Callithrix jacchus: one gene and its partners. The protein of the gene in region 2 purifies or fractionates together with the protein of the main gene of each other region. This does not show direct contact. Links are inferred from orthologs where the notes say so. Each region holds a gene or a part of one and is shown on either strand. Other genes may lie near its edges. The genes, in order: PSMD14, TGFBR2, SMURF2, SMAD7 and ENG.

Region 1 (3,517 bases), on a different chromosome or scaffold from region 2:
GCTGAAAAGTCATTCATCCCCATATATAGAACATTTTTTAAATGTCATATTTCAAAACAATGGAAAAAGTGGTAAGAACTAGTGTTATATGAATGAAAATCTAAATAAGAGAATCTCAAACCTTTTGAATCAAATGTTCAAATTAATCAAACTAACACTCTGCTATTATAGGGTAACTAACTTTTAAGTCCAGTATTTTATGCCTTAAACTGCTGAAGGAATGAGAAAATAAATTTAGCATTAAGTATCATTCAGTTTGCAGACCAGAAGTTATGCTTCATTCTAAAGAATAATGATTTAATTCAACACAATCAAAAAATTTCTATCAATCTTATAATTAATTTTTCCTATTAGAAAGAGAAAATATAATACGATGAGAGTTAGTCTGCATAGGAAAAGAAAAATGAAAAGAAACACATTTAGTTACAGCAGGCAACCATAAAAGTACTCACTGTTCCTGACTGTGGCATAGCAAACACATCAATCACTCTGACGGTATAATCATCAACAAATTCTCCAAGCATCAAACCCATAACTTCCATTGGAACTCCAGCACGACCATGTTTTAACATCTGTAGAGAGGAAGAGATGTGGACACAAAGCAAATTTCTTTGAGGTCTCTGGTTCCTCTTTATAAAACAAAAATCAAATTTTGTTCCAGTGAAAATTAAAAACTTCTTTTATAAATGTACCTAAACCAAGAGGATTAAGGTGGACAACTATTCCAAAGTAAAAGATACAATGAAAGCAACAGAGTTCTCTAAAGCAAGTAAGTACATTGATTACTTACTTTTAACAGTGCCAGGGAAGAGATATAGACTTGTTCTGCTGTGTCCACTGCAGGAGCATCTGTAGGTGGCCCCTAGAAACAAATACATCAATTATTATAAACACACACAGAGAGTTTATGAGTTTAAAATTCAACCTACATGTGGTATAAACTTGATTGTTTTAAAAGAGTTCTGAAGAACATGTCAAGTATCATTTTATTTGGCCACAACATAATCAAAACACATTTGCAAATACCAAACCTGTAGAAAACAGATAAAACTTAATAATCTCTGCCAAGGGCATAACGGACATAAAGTTTAAGTCTTTCAGCAATGCCAATCTGCCTTGGCTGTAATGTACCAATTAGTCACATTTGTTACCACCAGTGTGTGTATGTGAAATGCAGTTGGACTAGCACAATTAAGTAAAGTATCAACACAAATAGCAAATTCTCTGAGCTTCTTGATTTTCAAGTAAAGATAGCATGTATTAACAGATTAAGGCTATGGAATTCCTCTGTAGATTCATTGCTACAGTGGAAGAGAAGGGGAAAGAAGACTTCTAATCCCTGGGTGAAAGAGCTGTGAACAACATCCTCTGCCCGTCACCTAATGAAGCTGTTCCCCTCCCCCTATACAACAAATTTAACACAATTGCCCCAGGTGTGAACAAACCAGTTGAGACAGGTATAGCTGACGTGCAAATACTTCCAAAACCCTGACCACTATCTTTAAAACAACTATTACTACCAATCTTATTACAGGCTAAGGAAAACACTATGTTTCTCCTTTAAGGATTCTATCTTCTTCCTGAAAGGAAGCAAACTTCTCTTGACTATAACATTCAGCTGCACAAGGTAACTGACATACAGTTCTTTCCCTCAAGATGCCTACAATCTTATAAATGCGATTCTGCCCCACATTTAGTGCACAAAGGAAGCTTCTTGTTTTTTAATACTGGACAATCTGAAAAATTATGAGATATGACTTATAATTGCCAGGTCCCGTTCTGCTTAAAGTTTGCTTTCCCTGACAATAACTCTATTACAAATTAGGTAAACAACCTTATCCACATTGTAAGCCATGTTCTCTCTCCAATTTATGCTTTTATATACTGAAATTAACAATCACTTTACATTCCATACTTATAGGTCTCTGTGTGTGTGTGTGTGTGTGTGTGTGTGTGTGTATGTGTGTTAAATTCTATTACTTTGTATTGTTTTAAAAGTTAATAATATTTACTGGAAGCATGGTATAAAAGATTCTAGAATAAATTTTCTCTAAATAAATTTGCTTTTATTTTTGTTCAAAGTGGAGGGAAAAAAAAATCAAGCCCCTTAAATTTAATTTTTATTTTAAATGCCAAGAAATAATGTTGGAAACTGACCAAATTCTTCATCTATTATTACCTAATGCAGTTTTATTGCTTATTTTTCAAATAGCTAAGATTTCTTTCAGAAGGAAAACTGCTAAAGTAAATTAAAGAAATATCAGGCCAAAGCATCTTGCTGATCACCACATAAACCTAATTTTAGTGATATGATAATTTTACTCATTTCACTTAGAAAGTTAAAAAAGATTGGGGCTGGCTTTAGCTCAGCGGTTACTTCGACAATGCTTTCTATGGTTAAAAACAACCACTCTGTGTGGTTCGAGACCCGCGGGTGCTCTCCAGCCCTTTTAAGAAAAGAAAGAAAAAAAGATTAGAAAGTTAAAAACGATTAAGAAAAAGGTGAGGAAAATAGTAAATTAGTTATGATGAGAGGTTTGGGGGAAGTAGTTGTAATCTTAAAATGTTAGGATAATGATAAGGCTTCAGTTAAACAGAAGGAATTGGTTCTGATGATCTATTGCATAGTCTGGTGACTACTGTTAATAATAATGTATATTTCAAAATAGCTAAAAGAGGACTTCAAATGTTCTTAGCACAAAGAAATGATAACTATTAAGGTGAAGGATATTAGCCTTACTTGATCATTCCACACCATACTCATTTATCACAGCATCACCCCCCACCAATATATATAATTATTTGTCAGTTTAAAACAAAATAAAACTAGAAAAATAGGTTAATGAACACTGTATTCATAAAATTATTCCTGGATCCACAGCAACCTTAAACATTGCATATGGAGAAAGAAGTTAAACTGGTATCCTGACTGTAGCTTTAATACAGCCTTTCTCAACTTGCCCAAAAATATTTTTTTTAGAAAAAAGGGAAATAAAACATCACACCATCACCAAAATGCGTTACTGACAGAATCCAGAAACTATTTCTGCCACCAAAGAAGGAAGAAACACTATTTTGTTCGATATTTTATATATAACCAGTACCTAGAAAAGTGCCTGGGGCATAGTAAGAACTTAATAAATACCGATTGAAAGAATGAATGAATAAATTAAGGTACTGCAAGTCAATGGAACAGAAAAGAAAAATACCAACCAGTTACCATGAGAGGGAGCAAGCCACATGTAAGTGGCCTTTCTTCTGATTAATAAACATACTAACAAGAAAGCCATGTACTAAGAGAAAACCATGCAGCTGTTTATTGTATGAGGGCTGGGTTTTTTGTTGTTGTTTTTTCTTTAGACAAGAGTTTCGCTCTGTCCCCAGCCTGGAGGGCAACGGTGCAATCTTGGCTCACTGCAACTCACCCCTCCCAGGTTCAAACAACTCTCCTGTTCCAGCCTCCTGAGTAGCTGGGATTACAGATGCATGCCGCCACGCCAGGCTGATTTTTTGTATT
Region 2 (3,517 bases):
CTCTGAGCCCTGGGCTGAATTAGTCTTCAAATATATGCTAGGAAGGGATACTAAATGTAAAAGTAGTTAATGACAGCATAAAATATTTCATTGAGCTGTGAGTGAAGAACACCCTGAAATCCTTTCCCTTTTTTTTTTTCCTGATTGCGCCTTTCTGTAATTTGGGAAAGACTGCAGTTCTTTATCTGGGATGGTTCTTCCCATTTTTCTCAGCAGAACCAGCTGTTGACAAGGAGTATGCCCTTCATACACAATGCTCTGAGGCCCAGCAAACAAAAAAAGAGGAACTGTGACTATCTCCCCAGGCACGCTCTTTGAACACAGTTTAGCTAGACAGGACAGAGTTTGCCAGTTCAACTGAGGGTGTGATGTGAGCTTTGCATAACATTCAGGATGGAAGATTTAAAACGATCCTGAGTACCTAGGAATGTTCTTTTTTCCCATGCCTTCTCCTTTAATGATTTAATTCAGACTTAAATATGTAAAATTCTCCAGCAGGACTGCCCCCATGGAACACTGTCTGCTCCATGTGATGTTTATAACCACAAATGGGTTCCGAGAATAAACAAAGGAAAAACAGAAAAAAGTAGAAAAGCACAGGAGACCAGAGGACAGCCTGCGAATGCTGGAGAACAGGAATCAGGGGCCTTTGTTAGGGAACAACTTTGTGAAGGAAAAGTAGTCCAGATTGCCTTCCTGTATGGAGGCCATAGTATTCATTTATTCTCCTCCTCTCTCTCCCTCTTCCCTCACCCTCAATGAATCTCTGCACTCTAGGAGAAAGAATGACGAGAACATAACACTAGAGACTGTTTGCCATGACCCCAGGCTCCCCTACCATGACTTTATTCTGGAAGATGCTGCTTCTCCAAAGTGCATTATGAAGGAAAAAAAAAAGCCTGGCGAGACTTTCTTCATGTGTTCCTGTAGCTCTGAAGAGTGCAATGACAACATCATCTTCTCAGAAGGTGAGTTTTCTCCTCAGAAGGGACTGGGCCTGACATCTGTGCCAGTTTTTTGCACTGTTGATCTGAAGTGTCACGGACCAAGTTCCTCCTGTGGTGGATTCTGTACAGTGGATTACGAGCCCGTTCCGCTGGTGGGAAGAGGGGCTTAGGGAGGAGCAAGGTTTGTACTGGATCCGATCAAATCTAGTTGACTGGGGCAAACATTATTATTTGTCTTTGACAAATAGTTTCTTTCACCTAGAGCAGTGGTTCTCAAAGTGCAGCCCCTTGAGCAGCCAGCATGAGAATCACCTGGGGACCTGTTATAAATGCAGATTCTCAGGCCCCACTAAATCAGCAACACAGCGGGTGAATCCCAGCTATCTGTATTTTAACAAGCCCTCCTAGTAGTTCTGTGCAGCTAAAATTTGATGACCATTATTCTAGAGATTTGGATGGGGTTGTTTAATCCTGGAGGAGGACTTGCTTTATAACTGAAGCTGTTTCTTGTACATCGTCCCAGGTAGGGTACTGGTCATTGATCCCATTTGAGAGAAACATTGAAATACAGAGAGGAAATAATAAGTCAAAGTTTACCCTTGGAGCCAGGAAAAGAGTAGATTAGATACTAGCCTTCATCTTTGAAGTTCAGGGTTCACTCAGCTTGAAAGGAAGGCACACACTCTTCCCTCAATTTTTAATAAGAGAAGTGACGTTCAGTGGTTGGTTTTTAATTACAAATTAGTATATGTTCTTTATCAGAAATTCCAAACAATCCAACAGTGTGTGAAAATTAAAAATGAAAGTACATTTCCCTCATCCCCTCACTCCCAGTGCAACAGATTATCTGTATTGACAATGGACTGGACGCACACACTGAATGACAGTATCTCTGTCATTCATTCATATCTCCCACTCCCAAACACTCCCTGTCTTCCTTTCTCCTTCCCTCCTTTCATCCTTCTGTCCATCTTTTATCTGTCCCATCCACTCATCCATCTTTCACTCCAACTGTTTTATCATATTGTAAATGTTATATTGCAACACTTTTTACACCCAACCACTTTTACAGTTCTTTCTAAACAAGATGGAACACATAGTTATACTGTACATCTTTCAATTTCAGTCTAGAATTTCATATTATCTTCCGTGATGGATCTAATCATGACCCTGTGCATGGATTATTTTTGTATCGTCAGTTTTTCCACTTCGTGCTACATTAAATATCTTTATCTCATGTATTTGTGCTAATATTTCTGCAAAACAGATTGCTAGAAGTGAAATCTCTGGTTTAGAAATATGTGCATTTTAAATTTGAATAAACACTACTAAACTATTCTCCTCCCAAAAAATATGTAAACACATGGATTTTCATGTGCCTTCTCCAACACTGGGGATGGATACATCTTTTAATTTTACCATCGTGGTAGTGTAAATAAATATTAATAGTACTCTTTTGGCTCTAGGAATGTAAATTCAGGGAAGCGAAAGGTTAGTTTAGTCAACAATGGGTCTGATTTAATTAAAAAATCTTTTTGGAACACAAGTGCTGGCTCTACACCCTATCTCTGCTGCCACGTGTGTTCCACCTCCGAGAAGGGATGTGTCCTCGTGTTTCGTGTTTGGTGCTCAGCAGCACTGCACATCCAGCTTGTTCTCTTCCTGTGTCCTTCACCTACTGCCATTCTCCCTCTTCCTGTCCAGCTCCCCCTAGGCCAACTTCTCAGTGAACTGAAGGCAGGCACACCTTGTCAGGGCAACACTTTCCAGATCACTCTTCCTTCCTATGTTCCCTTCCTACAAATGGTCCATTTCTCTCATTTTCTTTCTTTCTTTCTCTCTTTCTTTCTTTCTCTCTCTCTCTCTCTCTTTCTTTCTTTCTTTCTTTTTCCTTTCTCTCTCTCTCTCTCTCTCTCTCTTTCTTTCTTTCTTTCTTTCTTTTTTAGATGGTGTCTCGCTCTTTCACCAGGCTGGAGTGCCATGGTGCAATCTTGACTCACTGCAACCTCTGCCTCCCAGGTTTAAGCAATTCTCCTGCATCAGCCTCCTGAGTAGCTGGGATTACAGGCATGTGCCACCACGCCCAGCTAATTTTTGTATTTTTAGAAGAGAGGTGGTTTTACCATGTTGGTCAGGCTGGTCTCAAACTCCTGACCTCAGGTGATCCACCCACCTTGGTCTCCCAAAGTGCTGGGATTAGAGGCGTAAGCCACTGTGCCCGGCCTCATTTTCTTTATGTGATTTGAATTAGGAGGGAGATCCAAATGATTAAATCATACTAAACATAGTAATACCCGATATTCTGACTTAACCACATCAGCTTTCTTCAAGTAGTTCACCTTTTAAAAGAAGGCCTAGGCTAAGCCAAAGGAATTAATCTGTAACACTAGAATACCCAGGCACATTTACTAGCACTGAAGAAACTTTTCCCTCCTTATGTATAGTGGCTTGTCTACAGTAGACACGTTTATTTTATTCAAAAGGACAAAAATTGATAAATGGCCTGCAAGTTGGATCTATATTTTAGTATTGAATTTCTTTGTAAAAACATCTCATACATTTTCTATTTT
Region 3 (3,517 bases), on a different chromosome or scaffold from region 2:
AATTGCAGCTGCTCGGGAGGCCGAGTCAGCAGAATCGCTTGAACCAGGGAGGTTGCAGTGAGCTGAAATTGCGCCACTGCACTCCAACCTGGTGACAGAGCAAGACTCTGTCTCAAAACAAAAACAAAAACAAACTACAACAAAATATACCCTTGTCCAAAATTAAGAGTAAATCAATACTATAGTATATGTCTATATAGTATCGTGGTATAACTCTGCCATGATAGTGGATCTGGATAGTACAGATTATGTAGACACTTTGTTTTTGAGACACGGTCTCACTCTGTCACCCAGGTTGGGTGCAGTGGTGCAATATCAGCTCATTGCAGGCTCGACCTCCGGGTCTCAAGCAATCCTCCCACCTCAGCCTCCGAAGTAGCTGGGACTATAGGCATATGCCACCAGCCTGGCTAATTTTTGTATTTTTTGTAGCGATGGGGTTTCGCCTTGTTGCCCAGGCTGGTCACAAACTCCTGAGCTCAAGCGAACCACCCGTCTTGGCATCCCATGGTGCTAGGATCACAGGTGTGAGCCATTGCCTCCAGCTTCACACAGACATTTTGAAATAAAACCATATTTTTCCTTTTGTTTTGTTTATTATGGATTACAAATTTATTTGGCAATTAAAAGTAACAGACCAGGCTGGGCGAGGTGGCTCATGCCTATAATCCCAGCACCAGGCCAAGGCAGGTGGATCACCTGATGTCAGGAGTTCGAGACCAGCCTGGCTAATATGGTGAAACCCTGTTTCTACTAAAAATACAAAAAATTAGCTGGGTGTGATGGCGTGCTCCTGTAATACCAGCTACTCAGGAGGCTGAGGCAGGAGAATTGCTTGAACCTGGGAGGTAGAGGTTGCAGTGAGCCGAGATCACACCATTGCACTCCAGCTTGGGCAACAAGAGGGAACCTTTGTCTCAAAAAAAAAGGAAAAAGTAACAGATCACCAGACTATATCATCTTGTGAGTAGTTGAACTGATGGATAATACTGTTATACTCTGACTAAAATATAATAAAATTGCTTAAATTTTGAGTGAGATGTTACTTCAGTGTAATGAAGTAGAGTTTTTATTTGCTGTTTGGGCATGGTAGATTTTTCCCAATGTGGTCTTATATAACTGTACTTAGTGCTTTTTTGCCTTTTATGATTAAAAAAATTATTTCTAAAATGATTAATTAATGGCCTATCTTAACAGAAATATATACATTATCAAAAAAATTCCATGATCATATCTTGTTTTCTAGGGAATGGTTGTATCTCTTGTCACATGAAATGTTGAATCCATACTATGGCCTCTTCCAATATTCAAGAGATGATATCTATACATTGCAGATCAATCCTGACTCTGCTGTTAATCCGGTATGATTTGTTGTTATGATGATGTGAATTAAGTTATGACCTATAATGCTTTTCATCTTTACATGTTAACATAGTTTATTATTTAGAAATTTTTGTCCTTGTCCTAGTTGTACCCTTTGACTCAGCAACTCCTCTTCTACAAAGTTTTCCCAAGCAGATGATTATGGATGTATGCTACAGTTTGGAAACAGGGATGTTTACTGTTTATAGTAGCCCCCAACTGAAAACAACACACTTGTCTTCAAGAGGGGAGACTGATTAAATTATGACATGAAGCAGAATAATGCAAGTGATTAAAGTCGTAGATTCTGGAATTAGAAAGACATGTCATCGTCTCATCACTTACTAGCTTTGTGACCTGTCAGGGCAAGTTCATGGACGTAAGCTTCAATTTTGTCATTGCTAATACATACGTTTGTACCTGGGAGAGGGGTTATGAGAATTAGATGGGACGCTGTACATTAAGCATTTAGCACAGTGCTGTATGTTATTAACTCCACAACTCTATCGACTACATTATTAAGCACTCAACAGAAGTTAGCAGTTATTACTAATGTACTGTTTTTTTGTATTATTTTGTCTTTCCATACAAGGGCATACTAAACAGTCACTAAAATAATAATGTGAGATAATAGTTAATGATATGGAAAGATGGTGTTTATGATGTAAGTGAAAAGAAGGTTATGAAATAGTTTAATGCAACTTTGGTAAATTGTGTGTGTGTGTGTGTGTGTGTGTGTGTTTAAAAAAGAAAAACTTTTTAAGATAAAAAGGTTTAAAGAGGAGCTTAAAAGATTACTTAGTAAATGGGTAAAATAATTTAAAAATACAAACATCTAACAAAACAATCTGTGACGACTGACCAATATATGCAAACAGGGTAGAAATGTTAGATTTCTTTCAGAAAATTATTTAGGGAGGATTTTGAGGTGAAGGTTGCTTGGAGGGCCCACTGCTGCCACTGCAGTGATGATAGCCCACACTCATTGAGTGCTTACCTATGCCAGGTCCAGTTGCATGGGTTTCAAACATCACCTTTTACTCCTCATAGAGATGCTTTTTTAGATGGATACTGTTATTCTATTTCCAGATGTGGACAGTTAGTCCTACAGGAGTTAATTTGTCCATATGCCAGTGACTAGTAGAATCATGATTCTAATCCAAGTCTGACACCAAATCTGTGCTCTTAAATCTATGGTGTTTTGATATTTAATTTCTTGTTAGGCCAAGGAAGTAGGGAGGTTAAGGATTGAAAGATTTTTTTCATAGCAAGGGCTCAGCAGGAGGTGAGAGAAGGAAGAGAAAAGGATCTCCAAGTAGCCGAATGAAGCGCTGGGGGACCATAGTTTGGACTTAATTTCTAAAAGATAAAATTGACAGAATGACTGTGAGAAGGGCCTATTACCCTGTGTAATATGTTGTTCTCTGGTGATCTAGAGACTCCTGAGCATGCCCTAGAGAAATACTCCCTCCTGGCTATATTGAAGAGTACAGATTTGATGCTTACTCTCAAAATATTAATGTTGAAATATTTCATTTTTATTAAAATTTTCCTGAGTAATTTCTGACTCAAGTATATATGCTCTTTTCAATTTCAGGAACATTTATCCTATTTCCACTTTGTTGGACGAATAATGGGGATGGCTGTGTTTCATGGACATTATATTGATGGTGGTTTCACATTGCCTTTTTATAAGCAGTTGCTTGGGAAGTCAATTACTTTGGATGACATGGAGTTAGTAGATCCAGATCTTCATAACAGTTTAGTGTGGATACTGTATGTATTGGGTCTTCTATCGCTTCATTATAGTTAAACTCTGAGCTTTTTTTAAAAAAAAATGTTTCAAAACTGATGTACTTAAAAAAATGACCATACACAGAAAATATTGAGTGGTTATCTGAGTGATGGGATCACATAAGATTTCCCCCTTTCTGTAGCTTCTTTATGCATTTCAAATTCCTTAAACTTAGCAAGTTTACTACGTTCTACGTTAAAAAGGAAAAAAAACTAGTATATTCTATTTTTAAAAGTACTTTATATAATGATTTCCTCAATGTGAGGCAAATCCTGTTCCAAACCTGCATGTGTTAGAATAGCAAATTCTTGCTGCCATTGCTTTTAATGAAGTGGTGATTGTTGGAACCATACTTTTGGA
Region 4 (3,311 bases), on a different chromosome or scaffold from region 2:
GACACATACTCTTCTGTCTGGGCTGGAGGAGGCTTTGTTAGGGTAGCCGGGATAATACCAGTCTCAGGTTGTGATTTGGCATTTTGACACAAATTCACTGTTGTATACAGGGCCGCTGTGGACAAAAATATAGATGTTTTTGTCCCAAGTCACCCTCATTATTATTTTTACCAGATAGAGAGGTCCCTCATGACCACAGCACTGATTTGGGAGCTGGGTGACAGGCACCCAGAGACCGTTGCATAGGTGGCCCCAGGGTCTGGACACCTAGGTTCTTGCTCTGGCCATGTTGTCCCTGGTTCTCCAGCAGCAGGCTTTCTGGGTCCTGGTTTTCTCATCAGGATGACACGGGGCTGGAGGAGCTGGCCTTCCAAGGTTCCATCCAATAGAAAGACCTGTAACTCCAGGATGTGGCTGAGGCTTTTTGCAGCCCTAAAACCGGACCACCCAAGTTAAGAGGCTTGGTTGGCCAGGTGGGCACGGTGCTGGTGTATTCCTGATGGGCAGGGGCCTGCAGAGAAGCAGCACCCAGAGCTTCCTATGCTTAAAGAAAGGCAGGTCCTGGTCAAAGGGCTGAAGGAGCCTGGGCAAGTCCAGGACCCTCCTCACTGCCACCTTCCTTCTGTCCTGTCCTGAGAAATGAGCTTGTGATGGGGGTGTGTATATGTGTGTCTTTATTCTAGGACTCACCCATGCCTGTCCCTACCAACCCTCTCTGCCATTGTGTTTTCTAGATTCCCAACTTCTTCTGGAGCCTGGGGATCGGTCACACTGGTGCGTGGTGGCATACTGGGAGGAGAAGACGCGAGTGGGGAGGCTCTACTGTGTCCAGGAGCCCTCTCTGGATATCTTCTATGATCTACCTCAGGGGAATGGCTTTTGCCTCGGACAGCTCAATTCAGACAACAAGAGTCAGCTGGTGCAGAAGGTGCGGAGCAAGATCGGCTGCGGCATCCAGCTGACGCGGGAGGTGGACGGCGTGTGGGTGTACAACCGCAGCAGCTACCCCATCTTCATCAAGTCCGCCACACTGGACAACCCGGACTCCAGGACGCTGTTGGTTCACAAGGTGTTCCCCGGTTTCTCCATCAAGGCTTTCGACTACGAGAAGGCGTACAGCCTGCAGCGGCCCAATGACCACGAGTTCATGCAGCAGCCGTGGACGGGCTTCACCGTGCAGATCAGCTTTGTGAAGGGCTGGGGCCAGTGCTACACCCGCCAGTTCATCAGCAGCTGCCCGTGCTGGCTGGAGGTCATCTTCAACAGCCGGTAGCCGCGTGCAGAGGGGACAGAGCGTGCGCTGAGCAGGCCACACTTCAAACTACTTTGCTGCTAATATTTTCCTCCCGAGTGCTTGCTTTTCATGCAAACTCTTTGGTATTTTTTTTGTTGTTTGTTGGTTGGTTGGTTTTCTTCTTCTCGTCCTCGTTTGTGTTCTGTTTTGTTTCATTCTTTGAGAAATAGCTTATGAAAAGAACTGTTGGGGGCTTTTTTTTTGGAAGGGGGCTGGGTATGATCGGCAGGACACCCTGCTAGGAAGAGGGGAAGCAGAAATCCAAGCACCACAAAACACAGTATATGAAGGGGGCGGTCATCATTTCATTTGTCAGGAGTGTGTGTGTGAGTGTGAGTGTGTGGCTGTGAGTGTGTGCACGCGTGTGCGGGAGCCACAGATGGGGAGGCGACGTGCTCTTTGTTTTGTGTCTCTGACGGGTGTCCCCAAGCAAAGAGGTTTGCAGCCCCATGTGGTATCTCTCGTGTCCCTTGGACATGGTCAATGGGGCCGAGGCAGTACCTGGGCAAACTGGCAGCTGGGGGTCCCCACAGCTGCCAGGAGCATGGCTCTGTCCCCAGCCTGGGAAAGCCCCCGCCCTTCCTCTCCCACCTCTAGGACACGGGCCTGTCCACAGGCTTCTGAGCAGCAAGCCTGCTAGTGGCTGAACCAGAACCAATTGTTTTTATCCTTGTCTTAATTCCCCTCCCGCCAGCCCCTGCCATTGTAGTGTCTTTCTTTTTTTGGCCACCTGCTCCTGGATCTCTCTGAGATGGGCTTCCCGAGGGCTGCCGGGGCAGCCCCTCACAGTATTGCTCACCCAGTGCCCTCTCCCCTTATCAGCCTCTTCCCTGCCTGCCCTGGTGACATCAGGTTTTTCCTGGTCTTAGAAAACCAACTCAGCACTCCCTGCTCTGAGCCTGGGTGTTGAGCTCTGCTATTAGACCAGCAAGGGGGGACGTCCCTGGGAGGGACATGCTTAGCAGTCCCCTTCCCTCTAAGAAGGATTTGGTCCGTCATAACCCAAGGTACCATCCTAGGCTGACACCTGACTCTTCTTTCATTTCTTCTACAACTCATACACTCGTATGATACTTTGACACTGTTCTTAGCTCAATGAGCATGTTTAGACTTTAACATAAGCTATTTTTCTAACTACAAAGGTTTAAATGAACAAGAGAAGCATTCTCATTGGAAATTTAGCATTGTAGTGCTTTGAGAGAGAAAGGACTCCTGAAAAAAAAAAAACCCTGAGATTTATTAAAGAAAAAAATGTATTTTATGTTATATATAAATATATTATTACTTGTAAATATAAAGACGTTTTATAAGCATCATTATTTATGTATTGTGCAATGTGTATAAACAAGAAAAAGAAAAGATGCACTTTGCTTTAATATAAATGCAAATAACAAATGCCAAATTAAAAAAGATAAACACAAAATTGGTGTTTTTTTCTATGGGTGTTATCACCTAGCAGAATGTTTTTCTAAAGGAGTTTATGTTCCATTAAATGATTTTTAAAATGTACACTTGATACCATGTTGTCTTCCAACTCCTTTTTCTTCTGCTGCTTGGAGGGAGCGGGAGGAGTATTCATCCCAGTTCCGTTGAGTTGGCGTCTTCCCAGCCCCGCTCTTGGAGGAGGGGGAGACATGGGCCCCAAAAGAGAGAGACGTAGAACAGCCCTAGTCTTCAAGTGCTGGAAAGACCTGCAGCTACCAAGACCTCGCTCCCTCCCTCCTGTGTCTTGAATTTGTAATGGGGAACAACCTACCGGAACCCTGTGGGTGATAATTCAAAAGCTTGTAGGATCGAGGAAAGGGAATTACATCTCGGGTGATTGGAAGACCGGATTAGGGGATGGATGGATGGGGAAAGTTAGCCCCAAGAATCTGGATCCCTCTGGTTCTTGCCAACAACCCGCTTGGCGATAATCCCAAACCTACTGTAACTCTGCCAGATTTAATTCCAGGAGGAGTTTCCTGGGGTGAGGCCCTGGAGGGGTGATGAAAGTCGGGGTTGAATGTCAGTGGTG
Region 5 (3,976 bases), on a different chromosome or scaffold from region 2:
CAGGGAGCACCGACGGGGAAGTGTCTCCTGTATGTCCCAGGGCTCAGTGCTGTAGTGTCCTGACCCTCAGAAATCTCAACAGCTTGGCCAGGAAGGCTCCATCGTGCCCTACTTTGCAAGCGGGAGGGCGGGGGGGAGGGGTCTTGCCCAAGGTCTCATGGGTCAGAGTAAGCAGAGCAGGATTTGAACCCAGAGCCATCTGACTTCAGAAGTGCCATTAAAGTCCCCATCATTTGGAGCTGTCTTTTTCTTCCTCTTTTGAGACAGTCTCACTCTCTGTCACCCAGGCTGGAGTACAGTGGTCTGATCTTGGCTCACTGCAATCTTCGCCTCCTGGGTTCAAGTGATTCTCCAGCCTCAGCCTCCCAAGTAGCTGGGACTACAGGCATGTGCCAGCATGCCCAGCTAATTTTTGTATTTTTAGTAGAGACAGGCTTTCACCATGTTGGCCAGGCTGGTCTCGAACTTCTGACCTCAAGTGAACCATCTGCCTTGGCCTACCAAAGTGCCGGGATTACATGCATGAGCCACTGCACCCAACCTGGAGCTGTCTTTTGTCCATGAAGGCTTTTCCACCCATGAAGGCATCAGACATGAAGTATGTGGCCCTGGGCAGCTTCTCTAAGCCCAGAGACCCTGGCCCTAGCCACCTTGCTATGCCACTTTGGGACTTCCCTCCCTAGCCTGAGCCTCAGTCTTCCTGCCTGCTGGGCAGCCCTGTGTCAACTGCACTTAGTAGGCTGGGTTTGGTGCCTGAGAGACGTGAGGTGGTGGAGGTAGGCAGGCTCCCAGCACTGCCATCTTCTTGGACCAGTGATCTCAACACATCGGGTCTCTGTTTCCTCATCTGCAAAATGGGATCACTGAGCACGTAGGGTCATGAATTCCACAGAAACTACTTTAGCCAAGCCCAGCCCCCTGAAAGGGCTCCTCGGTAGGCTGTTAGGGGCTGCCTGATGCATCCCCACCCACCCGCCTTGGAGAGGGTGGGATGGGAGGGTGGGGTGCTTGGGGAGACAAGCCTAGAGCCTGGGTCCTCCCTCCCACCCAACTGCCTCCCCCCCATCCAACTGCCTCCCCCCATCCCAGGGCCCCCCACCCAGCAACAAAGCCTGTGGCACTTCCTCTACCCGCCTGGCAGGCAGCCTAGCCCAGCCCCTTCTCTAAGGAAGCGCATTTCCTGCCTCCCTGGGCCGGGCTGGATGAGCTGGGAGCTCCCTGCTGCTGGTCATAGCCCAGCTTCCATCTGCGCCCAGCCAGGACTGCTGCCGTCACTGCCATCCACTGGAGCCCAGCACCCCATCCCCGCCCATTCGTCAGACAGCGACCCCGGCCCAGCCCCACATCCCTGTGTCTACTTCTCCTGACCCCTTGGCCGCCACCTCAGAAGGCTGGAGCAGGGACGCCGTCGCTCCAGCTGCCTGCTCCCTTCGGGTCCCCGCGCGAGCCCACGCCGGCCCCGGCACCCACCTGCAGCCCTGCCCCTGGACACCGGATAAGGCACAGCGCACAGGCCCCGGCGTGGACAGCATGGACCGTGGCACACTCCCTCTGGTCGTCATCATGCTGCTGGCCAGCTGCAGCCTCAGCTTTGCAAGTAGGTGTCCAGGGACCCGGGATGGGGAGACTCAGCCTCCGGTGCACAGACCAGGCCCCAAGTGTACCCGGCCTCCTTCCTATATCCTGAGCTCACGCCCAGCAGGGCCATCCTTGGGGGTTTGGAGGGTCACCAACCCTCCCGGTTTGCTGAAACTAAAGGGTTATGCAGGACTTTGGGTGTTGAAAGCCTTGGGCAAACTGGGCTGACTCATTCACTTTAACCCTAGCCTCTGGCGTCTGTTCTCCCAGCTGTGTTCCATTACTGGAAACCCAGATCCCAGAATGCTGTGCAGCCCCGGGAGAGTTTCCTGCCCTCTCTGGGCCTCGAGTTTTCCAAGGAGGAATGGGTGAGAAGGAGGGCCCACAGCCTGGGCTCTGAGTGCTGACTCTGGGTTCAAATCTCACGTAGGGTCTTCCTCGTGGTGTGATCTCGGGAACTGCCTTCGGGCCTCTGAGTAAAGTGGGGATAACAGACTTCCTTCCCTCTCAGAGCTGCTGAGAAGGTTGGTGGTAAAGGATCACTGCAGAGAGGGCTCTGGCAGGCTGCTCACTTCTGTGTTGTTTATTTTTAGCTTTAAGTTCCTCCAGTTTACCTCCCAGGGCCTTTGAACAGGCCAAGGCTGCAGGGCCCGCCCTTCCTCCCTCCCGGCTCCCTGATCACCAGGATGGGTTCAGGAGGGGGTGCTGGCCAGGTTAGGCATGCTGGCCAGGTTAGGGGTTCTGTGGGACTCCTCGGGCTGGGGACTCTTCCAAGGGGTCATGGCCTCTGCTACTTTCTGAAACTGACCAGAGGAGGGGCAGCAAGGAGCCAGGGACCCTCACCCCCATGTTCCACTCCCGACCCCTCGGGCATCTCAAGCCGCTGACCGGTCCTGTGGACAACCCTTGACCCACCTGTGCATGCAGGGGCTTCCTGAGGGATCTGGGGGAAAAGGGGCAAAAGTGAGCTAACAGTGTGGGGAGAAGGGGGAAGGAAAATGGCAGTGGGGCAGCCACCTTCTCCCCACCTCCACACTCCACGGCATTTTAGAGTCCCTGATTCTGGGTCTCTGAAGCTCTTCCCACCACCTGATTGATAGGAAACTGAGTTTCAGACACAGTAAGTGACTTAGCAGGGATTTGACTCCCCGCCCGCAGCTCCCCAAACGTTTGCTGCTAGCAAGGTGTGATAGGGCAACCCCTCTTAATACGGCTCACAAGGACCCTGCAAGATGGCTGCGGCCATCATCCCCATTTTACAGAAGAGAAAATGGAGATTCTGACTTGCCAAGTTCACACGGCTGAGACAGAGCCCCGGCCTCAGCTCTAGGATCTGCCTCCTTGGCTGTCCAGGCTTCCCTCTCCCTCTCCCTTGTTTCTTGCCGTGGTCACACTCTCTTCCTCTTGGTCGTTAGAGAAAGGTCCTTGCAGACGTTTAGGGCCTGGTTTTAAAGGATCAAAGGCAGTGGTGTGCTGGTAAATAATTACCAACAGGGTGGGGGGCTCAATTTGTGGATAGCGTTTGTGGATTTCCACAGCATATGTACTCCCACTCGGCTGACTAAAAGCCACCAACTCCCCAAGCTCAGAGCTGGGAATCAATGCCCAGTAGCACCCGGTGGTTGGTTCTCCAGGGTCTCTGCAGGGGCAGATCATGTTGGGAGTAGAGGTGACAGTCGGGGGCGTAAAACAGGAATAAATAAATTTGGACATTCAGGATTTTTTAAAAAAATAGATAGTAATAGCCATGTAACAGCCAGTTGGAAAAACTCCTGGAAATGTATCAGTCTGGTCCTGTGAGTGGGTAGGAGCTGGTCCTGGTGCACCAAGGGTCACAGGCTCAACGGTACAACAGGTCATCAGCCCAATTCATTTGTGGTCTGGGAAGCTGAGGCCCATGGAGGGCAGAGGGGAACCTGGGGCCAGGGCCTGGAACCCAGAGGTCCCTGCTGGGGGTGGGGGTAGGAGTGACCCTGACATCCAAGAAATGGGTCTGGAATTCCTGAATGTAACTTGTTACCCTCACAACTCAACCTTCAGAAGTCAGCCTTCTACAGTGACTTGTCCAGCTCTGTAAAGATGTGTGATCTGTGGGTGCATGTAACAAAAACCCGATAACTAACTGGAAATGATCTAAACGTCCACGAGCAAAGACTGTTAATAAATTACCAAGGCCGGGCGCGGTGGCTCACGCCTGTAATCCCAGCACTGTGGGAGGCCGAGGGGGGTGGATCACGAGGTCAAGAGATCCAGACAATCCTAGCCAACATGGTGAAACCCCGTCTCTACTAAAAATACAAAAATTAGCTGGGCATGGTGGCACGCACCTGTAGTCCCAGCCACTTGGGAGGCTGAGGCAGGAGAATTGCTTGAACCCAGGAGGCGGAGGTTGCAGTGA

The links.
Region 1: the proteins of TGFBR2 (region 2) and PSMD14 purify together in Homo sapiens (affinity purification with western blotting; 3 studies listed by BioGRID, with this or other methods). This does not show direct contact. The link is inferred for Callithrix jacchus from reciprocal best matches to the Homo sapiens genes TGFBR2 and PSMD14.
Region 3: the proteins of TGFBR2 (region 2) and SMURF2 purify together in Homo sapiens (affinity purification with western blotting; 3 studies listed by BioGRID). This does not show direct contact. The link is inferred for Callithrix jacchus from reciprocal best matches to the Homo sapiens genes TGFBR2 and SMURF2.
Region 4: the proteins of TGFBR2 (region 2) and SMAD7 purify together in Homo sapiens (affinity purification with western blotting; 3 studies listed by BioGRID). This does not show direct contact. The link is inferred for Callithrix jacchus from reciprocal best matches to the Homo sapiens genes TGFBR2 and SMAD7.
Region 5: the proteins of TGFBR2 (region 2) and ENG purify together in Homo sapiens (affinity purification with western blotting; 3 studies listed by BioGRID). This does not show direct contact. The link is inferred for Callithrix jacchus from reciprocal best matches to the Homo sapiens genes TGFBR2 and ENG.

The regions. Positions count from the first base shown.
Region 1 is NC_133507.1:68,442,658-68,446,174, forward strand, and holds part of PSMD14 (26S proteasome non-ATPase regulatory subunit 14), read right to left. Parts: intron 863-3,517; coding exon 791-862; intron 573-790; coding exon 453-572; intron 1-452.
Region 2 is NC_133518.1:68,878,742-68,882,258, forward strand, and holds part of TGFBR2 (TGF-beta receptor type-2), read left to right. Parts: intron 1-777; coding exon 778-968; intron 969-3,517. UniProt on the Homo sapiens protein: Transmembrane serine/threonine kinase forming with the TGF-beta type I serine/threonine kinase receptor, TGFBR1, the non-promiscuous receptor for the TGF-beta cytokines TGFB1, TGFB2 and TGFB3.
Region 3 is NC_133506.1:89,826,443-89,829,959, reverse strand, and holds part of SMURF2 (E3 ubiquitin-protein ligase SMURF2), read left to right. Parts: intron 1-1,246; coding exon 1,247-1,361; intron 1,362-2,959; coding exon 2,960-3,138; intron 3,139-3,517. UniProt on the Homo sapiens protein: E3 ubiquitin-protein ligase which accepts ubiquitin from an E2 ubiquitin-conjugating enzyme in the form of a thioester and then directly transfers the ubiquitin to targeted substrates.
Region 4 is NC_133514.1:92,026,009-92,029,319, reverse strand, and holds the end of SMAD7 (mothers against decapentaplegic homolog 7), read left to right. Parts: intron 1-734; coding exon 735-1,273; 3' UTR 1,274-2,808; downstream 2,809-3,311. UniProt on the Homo sapiens protein: Antagonist of signaling by TGF-beta (transforming growth factor) type 1 receptor superfamily members; has been shown to inhibit TGF-beta (Transforming growth factor) and activin signaling by associating with their receptors thus preventing SMAD2 access.
Region 5 is NC_133502.1:176,480,108-176,484,083, reverse strand, and holds the start of ENG (endoglin), read left to right. Parts: upstream 1-1,173; 5' UTR 1,174-1,530; coding exon 1,531-1,597; intron 1,598-3,976. UniProt on the Homo sapiens protein: Vascular endothelium glycoprotein that plays an important role in the regulation of angiogenesis. Required for normal structure and integrity of adult vasculature. Regulates the migration of vascular endothelial cells.